Lytechinus pictus: one gene and its partner. The protein of the gene in region 1 purifies or fractionates together with the protein of each later gene. This does not show direct contact. Links are inferred from orthologs where the notes say so. Each region holds a gene or a part of one and is shown on either strand. Other genes may lie near its edges.

Region 1 (8,875 bases):
CACCATTAGATACCCAGGGGGGGTGGCTGGAAGTTTGGGTGATACAATTTTTCTTTCTTTTCTTCTTTGAGTAAAGTTTTTTTTTTAGTCCATTGAGAATTTGTTTGGCCCTTTTCAGATGATTTGTCAGTGGACCATTTTGTTTTGTTTACTCTGATGGTGAGTCAATTTTTTTCTGCTCATAATAGCAAGTCAATTTTTTGAAAAACTTCCAGCCCCTCCCCCACCTGGATATATAATGGTGCGTCCCTAAAGGGGTACTCCAGGCTGAAAATAATATATAACAGACACGTAAGACCAGAAAAACAAAACACTGCAAACTTGATCAAATCGGGCACAGAATATGCCTTTGTGAAGTTACAACACTATATAAAGGATAAGTCCACCCCAACAAATTGCTGATTTGAATAAAAAGAGAAATATCCAACAAGCATAACACTAAAAATTTCATCAAAATCGGATGTAAAATAAGAAAGTTATTACATTTTAAAGTTTCGCTCAATTTCACAAAACAGTTTATATGCACATCCTGTTTGGTATGCAAATGAGGAGACTGATGACGTTATCCACTCACTATTTCTTTTGTATTTTATTATAGGAAATATTAAATATTTAATTTTCTCCTCATTGTTAAGGGAAACATCGATTAATTTCTCCCTGAACATGTGGAATTAGCATTGTTTAATACTATATGGTTCAGTCAAGTTGGTCCTTATTGTCAAATGTGTAAAAAATGAAATATTGTATAATTCAAACAATAAAAAACAAAAGAAATAGTGAGTGATGGACATCATCAACTGATTCGTTTGAGTTGTACATATCACTGTTTTGTGAAAATAAGCGAAACTTCAAAATGCCATAACTTTTTTTATTTTACATCCGATTTTAATGAAATTTTCAGTGTTATGTTTGTTTAAATTTTCCTTATGGGGGAGCAAGAGCAAAACAATTGCAAAACAATTGGTATGAACAGGCAATGACGTCACAAAGCAACAAATTTGAGAGGGCGATCTGGTGTATCGGGCAAAATAAAAATTTAAAAAGATGCGAGCGAGTTAAAAAAAAATATGATATTTTCATTTTAAAATTCCAATTTTGTGATAGATTTTGACATAATGTTTAAAGCATAATATCATATTTTACTAATCTCTCTCTCCCTTTCTCTTTTTTTTCTTGGTCTGTACGCCACGCTGAACAGGATTTTTTTTATGATTGTGCATGCGCGAGCATCAGGGCGAAGCTCTATACTCGAAGGGGGCCAGTATGGCGCGTGTGGCAAGAGGTAGCTCCCGAGTAAGCGAAGCGAGCGAGATAAAATAAATCACCTTTTCGTGAGAATATAACTTTAAGATAGATTTTTACGTGATATTCAGAAAAATATAATAGGGCCTACACTTTTTCTTTGCTTTGCTTTCTTTCCTCCTTTCTTTTTTGTTTGGTTGAAGAACTTTTTTGGGCCATGGTTCAAATTTTTCCATACAACAGTGCTATGTGGGTGGGGTCCGGGGCGGAGCCCCCGGAACCTCATGATACTATAAAGTCATTTTAAACCTTACCGATGGCCACTATTTTAAAAATCAAATTGCGTCTATATTATATAGCTTTCACAGTGACACAACACATAAATTAATTGCAGTTGCGTAATATTTTATCCAAATATTTTGAGGGGGCACACCATACTAAATGGGAGAAAATTTGTAAAAAGTTCCCAGCGAGCGAAGCGAGCCAGAATGAAAAATGGACCTTTGAAATGAAATTCTAATTATGTGATAGATTTTTACATGATAGCAAACAACATGTCATATATTGTTTCCATTCATCTAATTTCGCTGCCTCGTTGATTTTCGTTAATTTCCCCTTGGCTGTGGAACCACCCCCCCCCCCGTACGCCAGTGCTTCAACGCAAAGCTTATAATGCAGGAAGGGTCCATACAGGGGCCCGTTATATAGAGCCCTTTAAGGACGTTCCACAGAACATATTTGTGCGCATTATGATCTGCGCATAGTTTACACTCTGCGCGCTGACGTCACAATGGATGAACAGGTGATAGCTGCGGGTATGAGCTGATTTTTCTCATCTTCTGCACTTTAACTGCAGATCCGATGCGTTATTTCATGAAGCTAAAAAATTGAATTATTCCATGGACCATTCAAAAATATATTCTCTACAATTTCAAAATACTTTACTCTGCAGTGCTGCCAAGAATCACGAATATTACCCCGAGTTTGAATAAATGGTAGAGTGGTTTTGATTTTTTCTTCACATAGATACTAAGCATTTGGCCCATTTTTTGTGTTTTAGAAAGCACATTTGCTCTAATAAAAATGCTGATAGTTTAAAAACAAGCACATGAACCCCTATTTTTTAATGTTTGCACCTCTTAGGTATACCTTCCTCTACAACTCTGCAAATTTTGGTGAAAATGACATGGATTTTGAATAAAGTGCAGCATTTATCGTACGTTTGTAGTTTGTTACTGAAATTTTACATTTTTTAGATTGGGATTTTGTTATCTTTTACGCCATTTTTAAGAACTGACAGTGCTGTTAAACTTAAAATTGCAAACAAATAGCACTATTAATAGATTCTCCATTCTAACGATACAATTATCAACTCTCTTGCGAAATTTGATGACTTTTTCATGTATTTTGACTGAGTAATAGAGGTTTAAACTCATTGTAGTAATCTTGGGCGGTCTAAAAATGCCAAATTCTTTTGAATGCGCAATTCTTAAGAACATCAATTTGGGTGAACTTTGAAGCTCTATAGCAAAAAATCAAGCACATGGACCTATGTTAATTTTTGCATATTTCGAATATTAAGGTTCTAAAGTATCTATGTGCAAAGTTTGGTGAAAATGACATGGATTTCACTTTAACTGTGGAACGTCCTTAAATGTTACAGATGAAGAGCCCCTACTGCACGGGGTCTTGGGCAGAGCCCCCGGTAGCTTTGGAGATTTAGCAAGCTTATATAGAATTTCGTACATTATGCTATTATGCCATCCATCTTTTAGATGTATTGCTGTACACATGCATGACCAAATTATTTGGTACCCCCTAAACGAGTTTTTCTCTGTGTGCAAAATAATCCCCTTATCAATTTTTTTCGCGCGCTTCAGTCATATTGGCCCCTAAACAAGTTTTGTCTCGGGCCCGAACACTTTTCAGAAACGAGGAGGAGAAAGCACCTTTTATTTGAAAATCGGTGTTTTTGATACCCTTGAAAGGCCACCGCACACCTTACGACTGGTCTGCGACCCGATTTCAGAATAAAATGTAATAGAATTTGATGCTAGTATTGAGACTTGGAATATCTTACTGTGTAATGTTCGAAATCATCGTATACCTATGATCAAATTTGTGACTATGCTATCATCCTTCTTAGAATAAAAGCGAATTTAATATATAGTCGTTATGACGTCATAGGAGTCTTACGATTGGGTACGATTTGAAACTAATTTGGACTTTACTCCAAAATAAGGGCATGCAATCTTTCAAAATTGTTATAATATTATTATTTCAATTAATTTTAACCTCAAATAAAATGATATGTTCCATTCACATCTTCAGAAAATGAGCAAAATGCGATTTGTTCCAAAATCGGGTCGCGGACCAGTCGTAAGGTGTGCGGTCGCCTTAACGAGTGCACTCGCGGCCCGCGTCCAAAACTGAAAAAAAAAACCAACACCCCTTTAATAGCGTTTTTTGGTCATTTTTTACAGCAATATTTTTGACTGCCCCGGGGTTTTCCCTTTTTATGTGTTTCTTATAGTTTTCTGTTCCCTTTCATTTCCCTTTCCTCCCCCCCGGCCCCCCCCCTTTCCTCCTTTTCTTCCTTTTCTTTCCCTTTCCATTTCTTTCTTTCTTTTTTTCTTTCTTTCTTTCTTTCCTTCCTTCCTGTCTTCTTCCTTTCTTTTTTCCTTCCTTCGGCATTCCTTTCTTTCGTTCTTTCTTTTTTCCTTCCTTCGACATTCCTTTCTTTCGTTCTTTCTTTTTTCCTTCCTTCCTTCCTTCCCAAGTTCCTCCTTCCTTTCTTTCTTTCTTTCTTTTGTTCTCTCTCCCTTTTTTCTTTTTATTATAATTTTCCCGGTGAAATCCGCCAGGGGGGCGGGGGAGCTTGCCCCATTCTGCCCCCCGCCTGTTACGCCACTGCCTATAGCCTACTATGGGGGTACTATGATCTTACTGAGATCATAATCTTTTTCACTGCATGCACCGAAATAATGCTCACTTTAAAATGTCACAACCTTGTTATCCTTTTAGTATTTTGATAATTTTTTAATTGTTTTGTAGGTCTGATTTTACTTAAAGGACAATTATAAGTCCACCCAAGCAAAAAATTGATAAAATTAAAAGAGAAAAATCCAACGAGCATAACACTGAAAAATTCATCAAAATCGGGAATAAGAAAGTTTTGACATTTAAGTTTTGCTTAATTTCATATAACAGTTATATTCACATCCTGGTCGGTACGCAAATGAGGGGACTGATATGACATCACTCACCTATTATTTATTTTGTATTTTATTATTCATAATAATATGAAATATTCCAGTTTTCTTCCCGTTGTAGCCTACTATATAGTTTTATTCCTCCTTGAACATGTAGAATTACCATTGTTTTAACATTTTATGGTTCAGTCAAGTTGGGCCTTGTTTTAAGATCTGTAAAAATTGAAATATTATATAATTCAAACAATGAAAAACAAAAGAAATAGTGAGGGACATCATCGACTCATTATTTTGCTCGTCACTGAGTTGTACTGCATACATGGCATAGGGCCTAACTGTGATAAATAAGCGAAACTTTAAATTGTCGTAACTTTCTTATTTTACATCCGCTTGTGATAAAATTATTAGCGTTATGCTTGTTTGATTTTTCTCTTTTGATTGCAATCAACATTTTCTGGGGTGGACTTGACCTTTAAGACCTTTAATCTGTTCAAATCAATATTTTTATGCAGCACTACGTATTCGTCTTCTGAAACACCCCTTCCCTCCCCGGGGACGAGGTTGCAGCAAGCCGATGTTTCGTAATCAAAGCGCGCGCAATTTATGTAAACATGACTTTTCACGTGCATAAACACGACATACCGTATATACTGTGCATGTGCTGTGTGACATCAATTGATAAATTCGTGGATCTGTCTGTGACTGTGTACATGCTCTCGACTGTTCATCAGAACCTGCTATAAATGATCGCAACTAAAACATTTTATAAATCAGCTAATATGGCCCCTGTAACTCGCACTCGAAATCCAAGACCAAAGCGAGAAGGAGGTTCTGAACTTGAAGCAGCCGAATCAACATTGGCTTCGAAGAGAGCAAAGCGGGTAAGTCATGCAGGCTCTTGTTGATTTCATCGATGGTCGCCGCCGAGGGATGCCGGGATCTCGCCGGACTTTGACTTGTAATGAACCGAACCGTAGCCTGGCCAGAGACGAAGCTGTCACTGTCACTGTATTCAGCTTCATATTTTAGTGTGTTAGTTAATTCTTACATCTAATTCTAGAATTATGATATTAAATTCAAATGTATAAAATGATATTAGGAACCTGTCAGCTGTCTTATTTGTTTTAATAATTTAATTTCTTTAATAAAAATAAATAGATTGACATAGGCCTAGTTAGGCACTTAGTTAGCAGTAGAGGCGCACGGCCAATATTGGAGACTGTCTCCAATGTGGGAGATTATCTCCAATATCAGAGACTTTTGTAAAGAATTTGGGTATCCAATTTCAGAGACAGTCTCCAGTTTTGGAGACCAATTTCCTTTGTTTACATTTGCTGCAAAAGGATTACCTTGGCGGCAAATAAAAATGTGATAAGGAGATTCCTCATGAAAAATTACCCCTTTTCACCGTCTACTTTAAACATTCACCGTCTACTTTTGTTTTGATAAGGATTTTTGTTGTCAATCACACACAAAACAAATGGACTTCTGACCTCAGTGAGACAAACTTTTGGGTGGAAAAAATAATGCTTTTGTTGGTGTTTCTTTTGTCCTTTTGCAAAGCAAGTCTCCAATGTGGGAGATTGCCTCCCCTATTGGAGAGAGTCTCCTATATTAGCCGTGCGCCTCTACTGGTTAGGGTCTAACTTGTTAGGCCTATATAAGTTACTAAAACTCTAACCCTAACGTCTGACATTTGGGCGAGGCAGTATAAGTTTCAGGGAAATTTAATCTAAGTTAATTAAAGTTGAATGTTACTTTATGTTAGCTGGCTTTGTTTGATTTTAAAATTTTTATTGGGTCAGCCTTAAAAAAAGGTAGGCCTAGTATTTTGAATGCAAAGTCAGTACTATTAATTACAAACAATAACTTATTAATCTAAGTTAATTAAAGTTGAATGTTACTTATGTTAGCTGGCTTTGTTTGATTTTAAAAATTTTATTGGGTCAGCCTTAAAAAAGGTAGTCTTTGGAATACAAATTAAGTTAGTATTAATTACAAACAATAACTTATTAAGACAGAGAAATGAAGAAGAGGAAGTCTGGAAAACAGAAAATATAACGATGGCATGCAGCCTGCAGGACTTCCTCGATGTAGCCTTCGAGTGCTTAAAGGTCAAGTCCACCTCAGAAAAATGTTGATTTTAATCAATAGAGAAAAATCAGACAAGCATAATGCTGAAAATTTCATCAAAATCGGATGTAAAATAAGAAAGTCATGATATTTTAAAGTTTCGCTTATTTTTCACAAAATAGCTATATATGCACAATTTAGTCACATGCAAATGAGATAATCGATGATGTCCCTCACTCTCTATTTCTTTTGTTTTTTATTGTTTGAATCATACAATATTTCAATTTTTACAGATTTGACAATAAAGACCAACTTGACTGAAAAAAAAAAAGTTAAACAATGGTAATTCCACATGTTCAGTGCGAAATAAAACTTTGTTTCACAGGACAATGAGGAAAAAATTAGAATATATCATATTTCATATAATAAAATACAAAAGAAATAGTGAGTGTGTGATGTCATCAGTTCCCTCATTTGCATACCGACCAGGATGTGAATATAACTATTTTGTGAAATTAAGCGAAACTTAAAATTGTCATAACTTTCTTATTTTCCATCCGATTTAAATGAAATTTTCAGTATTCTGCTTGTTGGATTTTTCTCTTTTTATTCAAATCCACTTATGGTTGGGGTGGACTTGTCCTTTAATTAATAAAATAACCTTGGCCAAAAAAAAGTGCCAGAATATCCCCATTCATTACTATGTTGAAGCTTTTCTAATACTGCAGATTTATCAATTAGGTTGTGAAAATTGGTCCACCGAACCTATTTTTTTCATCTTTCTATTTTTTTTTTTTTTTTCAGACTTCTGTTAGTTTGAAAGCAGAGATGCCAGATGCCGACTTGTCGCCCGCCGTCAGACGCTCACCAAGAGTTATGAAAAAGGACGCAAAGGTGTCGCTGACCAGGACAAACATCTTGAAGGAAAATGTTCAGAGAGGGAAGGAAAAGGTGAAAAAGGAAATCAAAGAGGAGGAGGATGAAGAAGAGGAGAATGCGGATATCAGACCTCTAAAAGAAGAATCAGATGTAGAAATGGTAATAATGATATTTCATTTACTTAGGGTAGCCACTATAGTTGGGAATGATAATAATAACTCTTATTTACCCAGTATTACCACTATTACCATTTCAGCTGCAAGCCGTTTTTACCGCTGGTAGAGAAGAGAAACTCTACCGTACCATGACATAAGATGTTATTACTATCCTTCTCTAATCTTAAGTGCTGAGCACCTAGCGAAGGTGAAGGTCCCATTTTTATACATGTTAGTCTTTGTCAGGGGCGGATCCAGGATTTTCCAAAAGGGGGCGGGCTACATGTAAGTTCGAATTCGGAGTCCAAAGGTCACAGCTCATATATGCGAGTTGGTTCAAAGGTCTAAATTCATTGTTTTGGTTTCTGCACGATATTAAGTTCAATCATATCGAATGAATTTCTGATCGCGTTAAGCGGGGGCATCTGTGTCCTTTGGACATGTCAAATTTCTAGTTTTTTCAGTGTTTTGTTCTGTTGCATCATTATTAGTTTTTGTCTTCTATCTATCTCTGTAGGGAAGTCACTGTAGAAATAGAATTATCATTATTTAATTAGATACAGAGCATAGTTGAAATCTGTTCAAATTATTTAACTTTTATCTTCATATTTCTTCAATATTTCATTAATACAGAGTGATGGGGAGGAGACCCACCCGGGTTTATCAGAATATGAGCAGAGGAGGATGGAGAACATCTCCAAGAATGCTGAGTTCTTCGCTTCTCTTGATATCTTCAAGGTCAGTTTCTTCAGGACCATTCACATCGCTCCGTGCTGACCTTGCGGGCGAGTTGTGGTCAATCACCCCCAACTCACTCGTAACATGGTTTTGAGCATGTTCAAAACTTTTCTGGGGGCAATCAAACAAGTTTGCGTGCGCTCCTGTGGGTAACTGTCACGTGCAAGACTTGCACGGAACAATGTGACAAGGCCTTATAAATTACAAATCTTATTGCATATTATCATCTGTTTTCGTTGGGAAGTTGACACCATTCGGACACAAATCATAAAATGGAATGAGATTTATATATTCTAGGTCAGGTTCGTTAGGGTCTGAGGCCAATAAAAACTATTTTCAGAGTAAGAAATGATGGTGATAATAATACTGATAAAATGATGATGAATAATTATAATAAGGCATTCATGATACCAAAGACTATACTTGTAGCTTGAGAAGGCTGTATCAAGTTTCATTAGTTTTGCCTACATTTATAGTGGAGATGATCTGAGCTGTCAGGGGCCTGTACAGAAAAAATTGTAATTAAACACAACTACAAAATGAAACAACTTTACTTCCAACCAACCTGTTGCATGT
Region 2 (8,876 bases), on another chromosome or scaffold:
AGTAGGGGGCCTACATGTGAAATGATCCCCCCACATGCCCCAAAGAATGAAAATACATCACTACATCATAATTAGTAACAATTTTATTACTATTATTATTATTTTTTTTTTTGGGGGGGGGGGGCTATCATCCATATTCTTGTTGTTGTTGTTATAATTATTAATATTGTTATCATTATTATTATTATCATTATCATCATCATTATTATTATTATCATCATCATCATCATCACCATTATCATCATCATCATCATTATTATTATTGTTATTATAATAATCATTATCATTATTATCAATTCCTGATTATACATGGTAATATAGCCTGCAGACTGTTCACCAGAGGGCCCTAGCTGTCACAATATCTACAAATACAAAAAGCAAAGGACAACAAAAATAGAACGATTTTTTTATTCAAATTAACTTTTAGTTGGGATGGACTTGGGTTATCACATCAGGATCGTTTTTTTTTAGCTATAGCGCTTTGCATCTTAGAGAGATATCATATATTTACAGTTCTTAGCAGGTCCATTTCCCTGTTGAGTATAGCGCCTATATTAGAAATTTGAACTCGTGCTTCGTGCTCGCGATTTTGTGAAATAGGCAAAAAAAAAATCATGTCCGTTTGAAAAGCCTGGTGCCTCCACTGGGAACAATAACTTCTTCAATTTGTCAGCAGATAGTCAGTAGGGGTCCTACATGTGAAACCACCCCCGGTCCCCCCACATGCCCACAAGAATGAAAATACATCCCTAGATTACAATTATTAAAAATGTTATTAGTAGTGCACTATAATTTTTTTTTGTGGCTATTATCCATATTCTTCTTAATTGTTATTATTATTATTATTGCTATCATTATTTAGTAGTAGTGGTAGTATCATCAATATTATTATTATTGTTATTATTATAATTCTTCTTCTTCTTATTATTATTATCATCATCATCATTATCATCAAGTCCTGTTTATGCAGGGTATATAGCCTGCAGACTGTTCACTCAGAGGGTCCTGTTACATGTCCACAAATACAAAAAGCAAAGACAACAAAAAATAGAACGATGCAAAAAAAAAAAAAAAAAATAGGCCTATAAAACATATTGTAAGTTTTCAAGAAGACATAATAAAAATCACGAAGACAACTTATAGTTTTCAACAAAAAGAAAAAATATCATGGTAGCACTTGGAGCTAGTAGGCCAGGGTTTACAAATTATTAAACTACGTCTTGTAAAAGTAAAATGAATGAAAAGCGATTATACCTGAAAAAAAAATCGAACAAAGTGATTGTGTAAACCAATACATGTATTTGAGAAAGTTGCCTTTGCTTGAGACCCGTGATTTTCTTGACAGTTGAGGAAAACTGTGCGAATATTTGGCTGTTATACAGTCAGTCCGCAGCCCGTCCGAAAGTGCTCTATTTTATTCAGCGGTATGCATAGCCGTCCGTGGTTATGCATACGTAATGAGCTGTGAAGACGAACTTTCCGATCGGTGTTTTTTGCTCTTAGAATCGTTTATTCCTCACAAAATTGGTCTTATTTTATAGATAAAACTTTGAAATTTCTGATCAGCTAAATAAAATGCACATTTAATGTATTTTGAAGACCGATATTTAGCTTAGAAAAAATGATTTTTTTCAAGAAATATATGTGAATAAACAGAGCGCATTTTTGCATCGAAATTATACTTGCGTCAAATTGATATTATAATCAATATAAAGCGTAGACATTCTTCTTTACGACTGAAAAAGAATTATGAAATTTCATGATGTAGCAAAGTCAGGAACCACAAAAAACCACGGCAATGTCCATCGCAAAATGATTGGAATTGCAGTAGAATTGCCGACGCGTTCTGATTGGTCAACAGCGGCGCACAGACTTGCAACATTTTATATAGCTTAAAAAACCCGGAAGTAGTACGGAATAGATCGATGGCGAATTGCGTAAGCGCATTGTTTTGGCGTGTGCAAGGACCCTGGTTCGAACCCGCCGGACTGTTTTTTTTTTTTTTTTTTTTGGGGGGGGGGGGGGGTGATGGGGATATGTTTATGCTTTTTCTTTAAATCATATTCCTTCATCGTTCCTACCCAGCTTTATTCTCTTTTTACTTTCATGTGAAGTTCTATTTAGGCCTGCATTTATTAAATCATGGAGCTATTAATAGCTCTATGATTAATTCTTACTTCTTCTTAATCACTGCTTTTGATTTTCAAGTTCTTGATTACACTTATTTGGGCAGGGGTGGGAAGGGAAGTGAGTTAAAGGTCAAGTGCACATCAACAAAAAATTATTTGAATAAATACAGAAATTTCCCTTTTTTAACACAAAACAGTTATATACACAAAACAATGGTATGCAAATAGAGTTGATTATGTCACTCACATCACATTACTTTTTAAATTTTTGTTGCATTTTTATTATATAAATTTTAGCAAATTTGATCTAAAAAATCTTCCTCGAATCACAATAGGTTACATTTATGGAAACTACGAATGTTAATGGAGGAATTAAAATCCCTCTCAAAATTTGTTAATGAAAATTAAAATAAAATATACATGTCATGTACATGTATCAAACAAAAAAATACACAAGAAATTAGAGTGCTTGTGACATAATCGAGTCTGTAATTTGCACATTGACCAAGATGAGCATATAATTGTTTTATAAAATTAGGCAAATTTCTCAATGTCAAAATAGTAATTTTTTTAATTTTGAATCATAGTTTTTATGAAATTTTCTGCAATACTTTATTTTTCTTTAAATTCAAATTAATTTTTGGTGGGGTGGACTTCTCCTTTACTCTTTGCTTGGAATAGGGAATGCACATTAATATTTATCCACGAACAAAATTGTCTAAACATATGCAAATCCGTAATTGGACACATGCTCACTTTCCTTTCATCCAGGCCACTCCCTCACATCCACCAGGTTTACAGTCTTATAACAAAAATGATGAATTAATTATAATACCATCACACCATAGCTCCATGATCACACAACATCCATACAGTGCTTCACAACAAATATTTCACTTCTGTTCATATATGCAATAATTACTGTGGAAAACAAAAACAAGGCGTAACCACATTCAAATACCGTTTAAAAGGACAAATATATTATACCTTCGAAAAAAAAAATTGTGAACATACATGGCACTTAACCTTCAGCACATTAGATAACATATAACAGAGTTGCTTGAGAACAAAATATGATTATGGGGCATTGCAAGAAACTTATGTTCAATTTCAATTGCAAATCAACTACATGTTTGTGTTTAATCAAAGGACTTACCCTTAATTTTGGAATGTGTGATTGAGTAGAAAGTTTCTTGCAATGCACTATTAGTAACATTAAAAATGTCCTTTGGTTTTGAATTGTGAATTTTTATTTTTGTCAAGCTGTATTCCTGTCCAAGTCAGTATTCTTAGTCCTCCCCAAAACTGTGCTCTAATTTTTTTGTTTCCAATATCGATAAAGATAAATTTTATGTTGTATCAGTCCAAAATTTGTAAACGAAATAAGGGCTTTGTCGAAATCATGGTCTGACCATTATAGTACATGATGGACTCTCCCAGAATGAAGTAGCAAGCAGAGACCAGAGTCAGCAAGTATGCAGATCTGTGTGTAGAAGAGACAAAAAAGAGAGAAATAGTCTAAATTACTAAATAACCATTCAAAGTATGAATTATGTTACATGTACGTCAATTAAGAGACTAACTAAGTTAAGTCTAAGTACTGTACGTGACAGCCACAATTTTTTTATTTGAACAAAATGGTTTATAAATACTACTGACTACTGAGTACGGTAGTACCAGACTTTTTAGTTTGACTTTAAACTGTTTATAGTCTCTAGAGTAGACTGTCTGAGCTAATCATCATTTAATTCTTAACCGCAGCCTGGGCTGGGGCAAAAATCATCATGGGGCTCAACTTCGACTAATTTAGTAATTAAGAAAAAAGGTTAACAATTTTCAACATAAATCAAGAAATATCTCAATCTATAAAGTATAATAAAAACTTGATGGAATTCGGAAACCTGATAATCATTGAATAAAACTTTAGAAGGGATCTACTTATTAAGCTTCGTTTATATCGAGTCTTAATTAAAAAAAAACAAGTCCACCGTCCACAGACACATATAATGCGAGCCATCTGCCATCATTACAGAAGTTTCAACGTATGGGACCAAAGGCGAAATTCTACCAACCCGCGACGAACGTAATTTTGGCATTATTTCGCGCCATCGTGGAGTGAACGAGAAGGTTACTTCCGGGTAAAACGTAAATTTCTCGATTTTTAGGGTATCACTTTCTCTAAAATTAAAATATAAGGTGAGTTTGCGTCAAGTTGGTTCTGACATATTTTGAACAGTGACTTTTCTTCTTTCTAAAAAATCCTGATCGAAACAATTTGGTTATGTAGCAAAGTCAGGAACCAAAAGTGAAATTCCGACTACAAAATCGCAGTTAAAATATTACTAAAATAAGCATCAATTAAAGAGGTAAAAATGGTAGGTTGAAAATGTCGAAATATGGAAAATTATATACCAAACTGTAGATGAAGGTCTTGAGAATAACTTACCACAATTCGTCTCGATGTAAACTGAAGTTAGCGACCAGTACAGAGCTATAACTTCAGCCCCTCCAATTCAGTTGGAAAATCAAGCCAAATTGATCGCACGTTTTCCTTCGGAGACCGCTAGAGGGCCGCTGAATAAATTTCCGTGAATATGCTCATTATCGCGCGAGCTGCGGTCTGACTGTATATCATTCAGTGAAGAGGATGCGCCTGCGCATTTCATTTTTAAGCTCAACTTATGAATAATTCATGTCCATAGCGGCCATGTACGGAAAAATAATACTAGTAACGTCCTTTGGGTTTGGGTACGTGCAGCGCACGTGCGTCAGCGCGCGCATGTTATGCAATGCATTTAATTTTAGCGCGAAAATAATCACTGAAATCACTAGAAGCGTTAAGCATGCATATCATGCAGCGCGCGCAGTGGAAATAATTTGAGATTTCGCAGATAGCAAACGTGATGCAGCGCATCGACGCCGACCGACGTGCAGACATTACGCAACGACAACATACGCTGCCTTTTCTTGAAATTGACCAACTTCTAGAGTAGAGACATCAGATTCGTTAGCTAGTAAGTGCCATGAATGAATTAAAAATCATTTTCAATTCTAGGATAAGATTTATCTTATTTAACTGAAACTTTACCCCCGATTGCAGCTGGTACCAGGCCAGGCCAGGTGAGCAGCAGCTGAGCTGACTGCATGCGGCTAGTTAAGCGAGGCCCGAGGTGCAGGTGTCGCGTCGTAGCCCGCGGCCCGGCCGCAGGCGCGGGGCTGAGCTGAGCCTGAATTCAATTAGTGTTGTTGACTGTTCGTAATGCTTCACGGTTTCAAGGACTTTGAATTGTTGAAATTACTTTTTGTCTCACCCATGTAGGATACATGCACGTTCTTACAGTTACACTTAGTATGATGCAAACTCGACCATGGACATGGTGACTTTTGTGTGTTCACTGTTACTGTTAGTACTGACAGAGTGAACAGTGGAGAAGGACATGCTCTATAGCAGGGGTTCTCAAACTACGGCCCGCGGGCCGGATCCGGCCCGCAGAGCTTCTCAATCCGGCCCGCGAGACTCTGCTGGGATTTTTTTTATCACTTTTAAGTCACAATATGAAAGAGCTCAATATGATTACATCGTGTATCCACGTAGACCTAACCGTAATAAAAGTAATGGCAGTCAAATTAATTCGACTTTTAAACAGAGTTTAGTGGAGTCTTTTCTGTCTGTTTTATCTACTTTCTTATTAGATGACCAGCGCAATTGTCGCTATGTTTGGATCTACATACAGGTGCGAAAGTGCATTTTCCATAATGAACATTTCAAAGAACTCACTCATACCGAAGTACCTTAGTGGCCACGGAACGGTTTTCAAATGGGGGGGGGGGGGGAGGGGGGTCTGGTCATGCAAAAAATCACAATCATATGGTCATTTTTACTTTTTTGTACATGGTTTTTGAAAAAAGGGGGGGCAGCCCCCCCCCCCCCCTTTCACGGCCCCTGCTTGACCAGTGAACATTTGCACCAGTGTCTTCGTCTGGCAATTACACCTTTTGTGCCAAGGTTCATGCAACTTGTTGCTGTCACATTTCCCATATTAAAAGTGACTAGTAGACTGACATCCTTGTTATAGTCTACAACAGACATGGTCTATTATTCATTTTACTTTGACTACAAAAAATATTGATACTTCAAGACATTATCTGTCTCCCCAATACCAGGTATGTAAAGGTACTATCTAGATTCCTTTTAATATGTTTTAAAGTACTACAATTTGTTATCATTAATATTGACTCTCGCTGTATTTTGAAATCTTTTCTTATTTTGCCTGCGTTCCATATGAAACTGTTATAAATTTGTTAGATTAAATGCTCCCAAAATAAGGGCCAGATTGCACAAGAGGGCATCTAGGACCCCGACCGCAGGGGTCTTTGCGCTTCGCGCACATTTTTTTCTAAGTATCCACTTCACGCTGGCCCTTTCAAGTTTACTTGGAGTCTCATCTGGCCCTTCAAAGAAAAAGTTTGAGAACCCCTGCTCTATAGTTTCCCTGTCTCTGTTGCAACTGCAGTTAGGTGAAGGGTGGTTGTGAGGGAAAATTCTGTGCATATTGTCATTGAGTTTGGTATGTCCTGTGAGCATCCTATTCAGCTTCACTTCTGTGGATCTTGGAAGAGAGCTGTGTGCATTCTTCCTGGCAACTGTGGGCTGGAGTTGGTATGTCCATCTTCCTTTTGTAGATCTGTCCCATCGTCGTTGCCACAGCTTCTCAGTGTTCTTACGGATAATCTTGGCACTTTCCTTGTGCAGAGTAATTTCAGAAGCTAATGATGATGAGCTTGCAGCTTCCAAAGCAGCATCCTTGGCTAGTTGGTCAGCAAGTTCATTTCCCATGATATTTGCATGCCCAGCGATCCATGTGATGGTGACAGTAGTGCCTCTACTTCTTAGAAGAGTGATGTTTTTATTAGTGCGAGACACACCCTCTGGAGCCTGCACGAACATCGCCTGAGGTACTGTTATGGTTATGTATTGTTAGATTGAAGAAAAAGTCAGAAGTTGATCTGGCTTGCATAAAAGTTGCAATTTGATCTGTGTAACCATGGCATGGTAACTGTAAGTCAGTGTAAAGAGTTGATAAAAATGTGTGCAAAATCTAGTCTTGAGGACGCAATGATGATGACTTTTTAAATCCTGTCATAATTCTTCATCATTGACGTCTTGAACAGGCCCACATAGACATAGACATGTAAGAGAACCAGGTAAATAAAGGTGGATTTCCCTTGGAAATCCATCTTTTGATGAAATAGTCACGTAAAATATTTTTATTTTATTAATTTCTACACCTTCCTACACCTAATGCGTAGGAAGGTTTAAAAAAATCTTCGGTAAAAATGATACAAAATGAAGGTTTCTTACCAGATCGATGTCGCGTAGACCCCTCGATCCACATGTAAACAACGCAAATACAATGGCGTTGACCCTTGAACCGCTTATGTATTACGCACTTCCGATAAGCCATGCCGTTTTAAAGAACAATTTATAGATAAAAAATATTATTTCACGAATATTAAAATTTATTACGTGATTATAAATAATTAGTCTAATATTGATAATTATTTATAATCACGTAATAAATTTTAATATTCGTAAAATAATATTTTTTATCTATAAATTGTTCTTCAGAACGGCATTGCTTATCGAAAGTGCGTAATACATAAGCGGTTCAAAGGTCGACGCCATTGTATTTGTGTTGTTTACATGTGGATCGAGGGGTCTACGCAACATCAATCTGGTAAGAAACCTTCATTTTGTATCATTTTTACCGAAGATTTTTTTAAACCTTACCTTCCTACGCATTAGGTGTAGGAAGGTGTAGAAATTAATAAAATAAAAATATTTTACGTGACTATTGCATCAAAAGATGGATTTCCAAGGGAAATCCACCTTTATTTACCTGATTCTCTTACATGTCTATGTGGGCCTGTTCAAGACGTCAATGATGAAGAAGTATATGACAGGATTTAAAAAGTCATCATCATTGCGTCCTCGAGACTATGCAAAATCAGGATCGAAATTGTGCTACTTCAAAAATTATTGGTTGCCCGATTTGGGCCACCAAAACTTAGCATTATTCAATAATCATTGATATTTGATAATGGTTGCCCGAGGTGAATTTTATGTCAACATGGTCAAGCCTTGTGTGCACAGAAATAAAAATGAATATTTTTCTATACAACACAATATTTAACATTTATTCCTTACAATTAATGCTTTCAGAAAATAGGCCTATAGTTTTGCATAGTGAGTTAAAGACTTATGAAGTTAAAAAGGCAATGCAATTTAAGCAAGAATCACCATGTAACGCAAAAATAGGCGACCTCGTGGCACATGGTCACATTCGTTTGAAAGGATTTTCCTTGGCAGCATATGTCCATGTCATATTCAGACATCTCATAATTCAAATGAAATTGCTCTCTTTTTTAAAACAACTTGAAGGTCAAGTCCACCCCAGAAAATTGCTGATTTGAATTGATAGAGAAAAATCAAACAAACTTAATGCTGCAAATTTCATCGAAATCTGATGTAAAATATTAAAGAAAGTTGTGACGTTTTTAAGTTTCCCTTATTTTTCACAAAACAGTTAAATGCACAACTCAGCGATATGCAAATGAGAGAGTCGATGATGTCCATCACTCACTATTTCTTTTGTTTTATTATTGTTTTACCAATACAACATTTCAATTTTTACAGATTTGACAATAAGGACCAACTTAACTTAACCATAAACTGTTAAAATGATA

What was found.
Region 2: the proteins of WD repeat-containing protein 76-like (region 1) and lymphocyte-specific helicase-like purify together in Homo sapiens (affinity purification with mass spectrometry; 4 studies listed by BioGRID and IntAct, counting the BioPlex papers as one, with this or other methods). This does not show direct contact. The link is inferred for Lytechinus pictus from reciprocal best matches to the Homo sapiens genes WDR76 and HELLS.

The regions. Positions count from the first base shown.
Region 1 is NC_087250.1:12,391,526-12,400,400, forward strand, and holds the start of WD repeat-containing protein 76-like, read left to right. Parts: upstream 1-5,044; 5' UTR 5,045-5,197; coding exon 5,198-5,335; intron 5,336-7,331; coding exon 7,332-7,565; intron 7,566-8,194; coding exon 8,195-8,299; intron 8,300-8,875. UniProt on the Homo sapiens protein: Specifically binds 5-hydroxymethylcytosine (5hmC), suggesting that it acts as a specific reader of 5hmC.
Region 2 is NC_087260.1:1,348,693-1,357,568, reverse strand, and holds the start of lymphocyte-specific helicase-like, read left to right. Parts: upstream 1-4,832; 5' UTR 4,833-5,143; intron 5,144-8,876. UniProt on the Homo sapiens protein: Plays an essential role in normal development and survival. Involved in regulation of the expansion or survival of lymphoid cells. Required for de novo or maintenance DNA methylation. May control silencing of the imprinted CDKN1C gene through DNA methylation.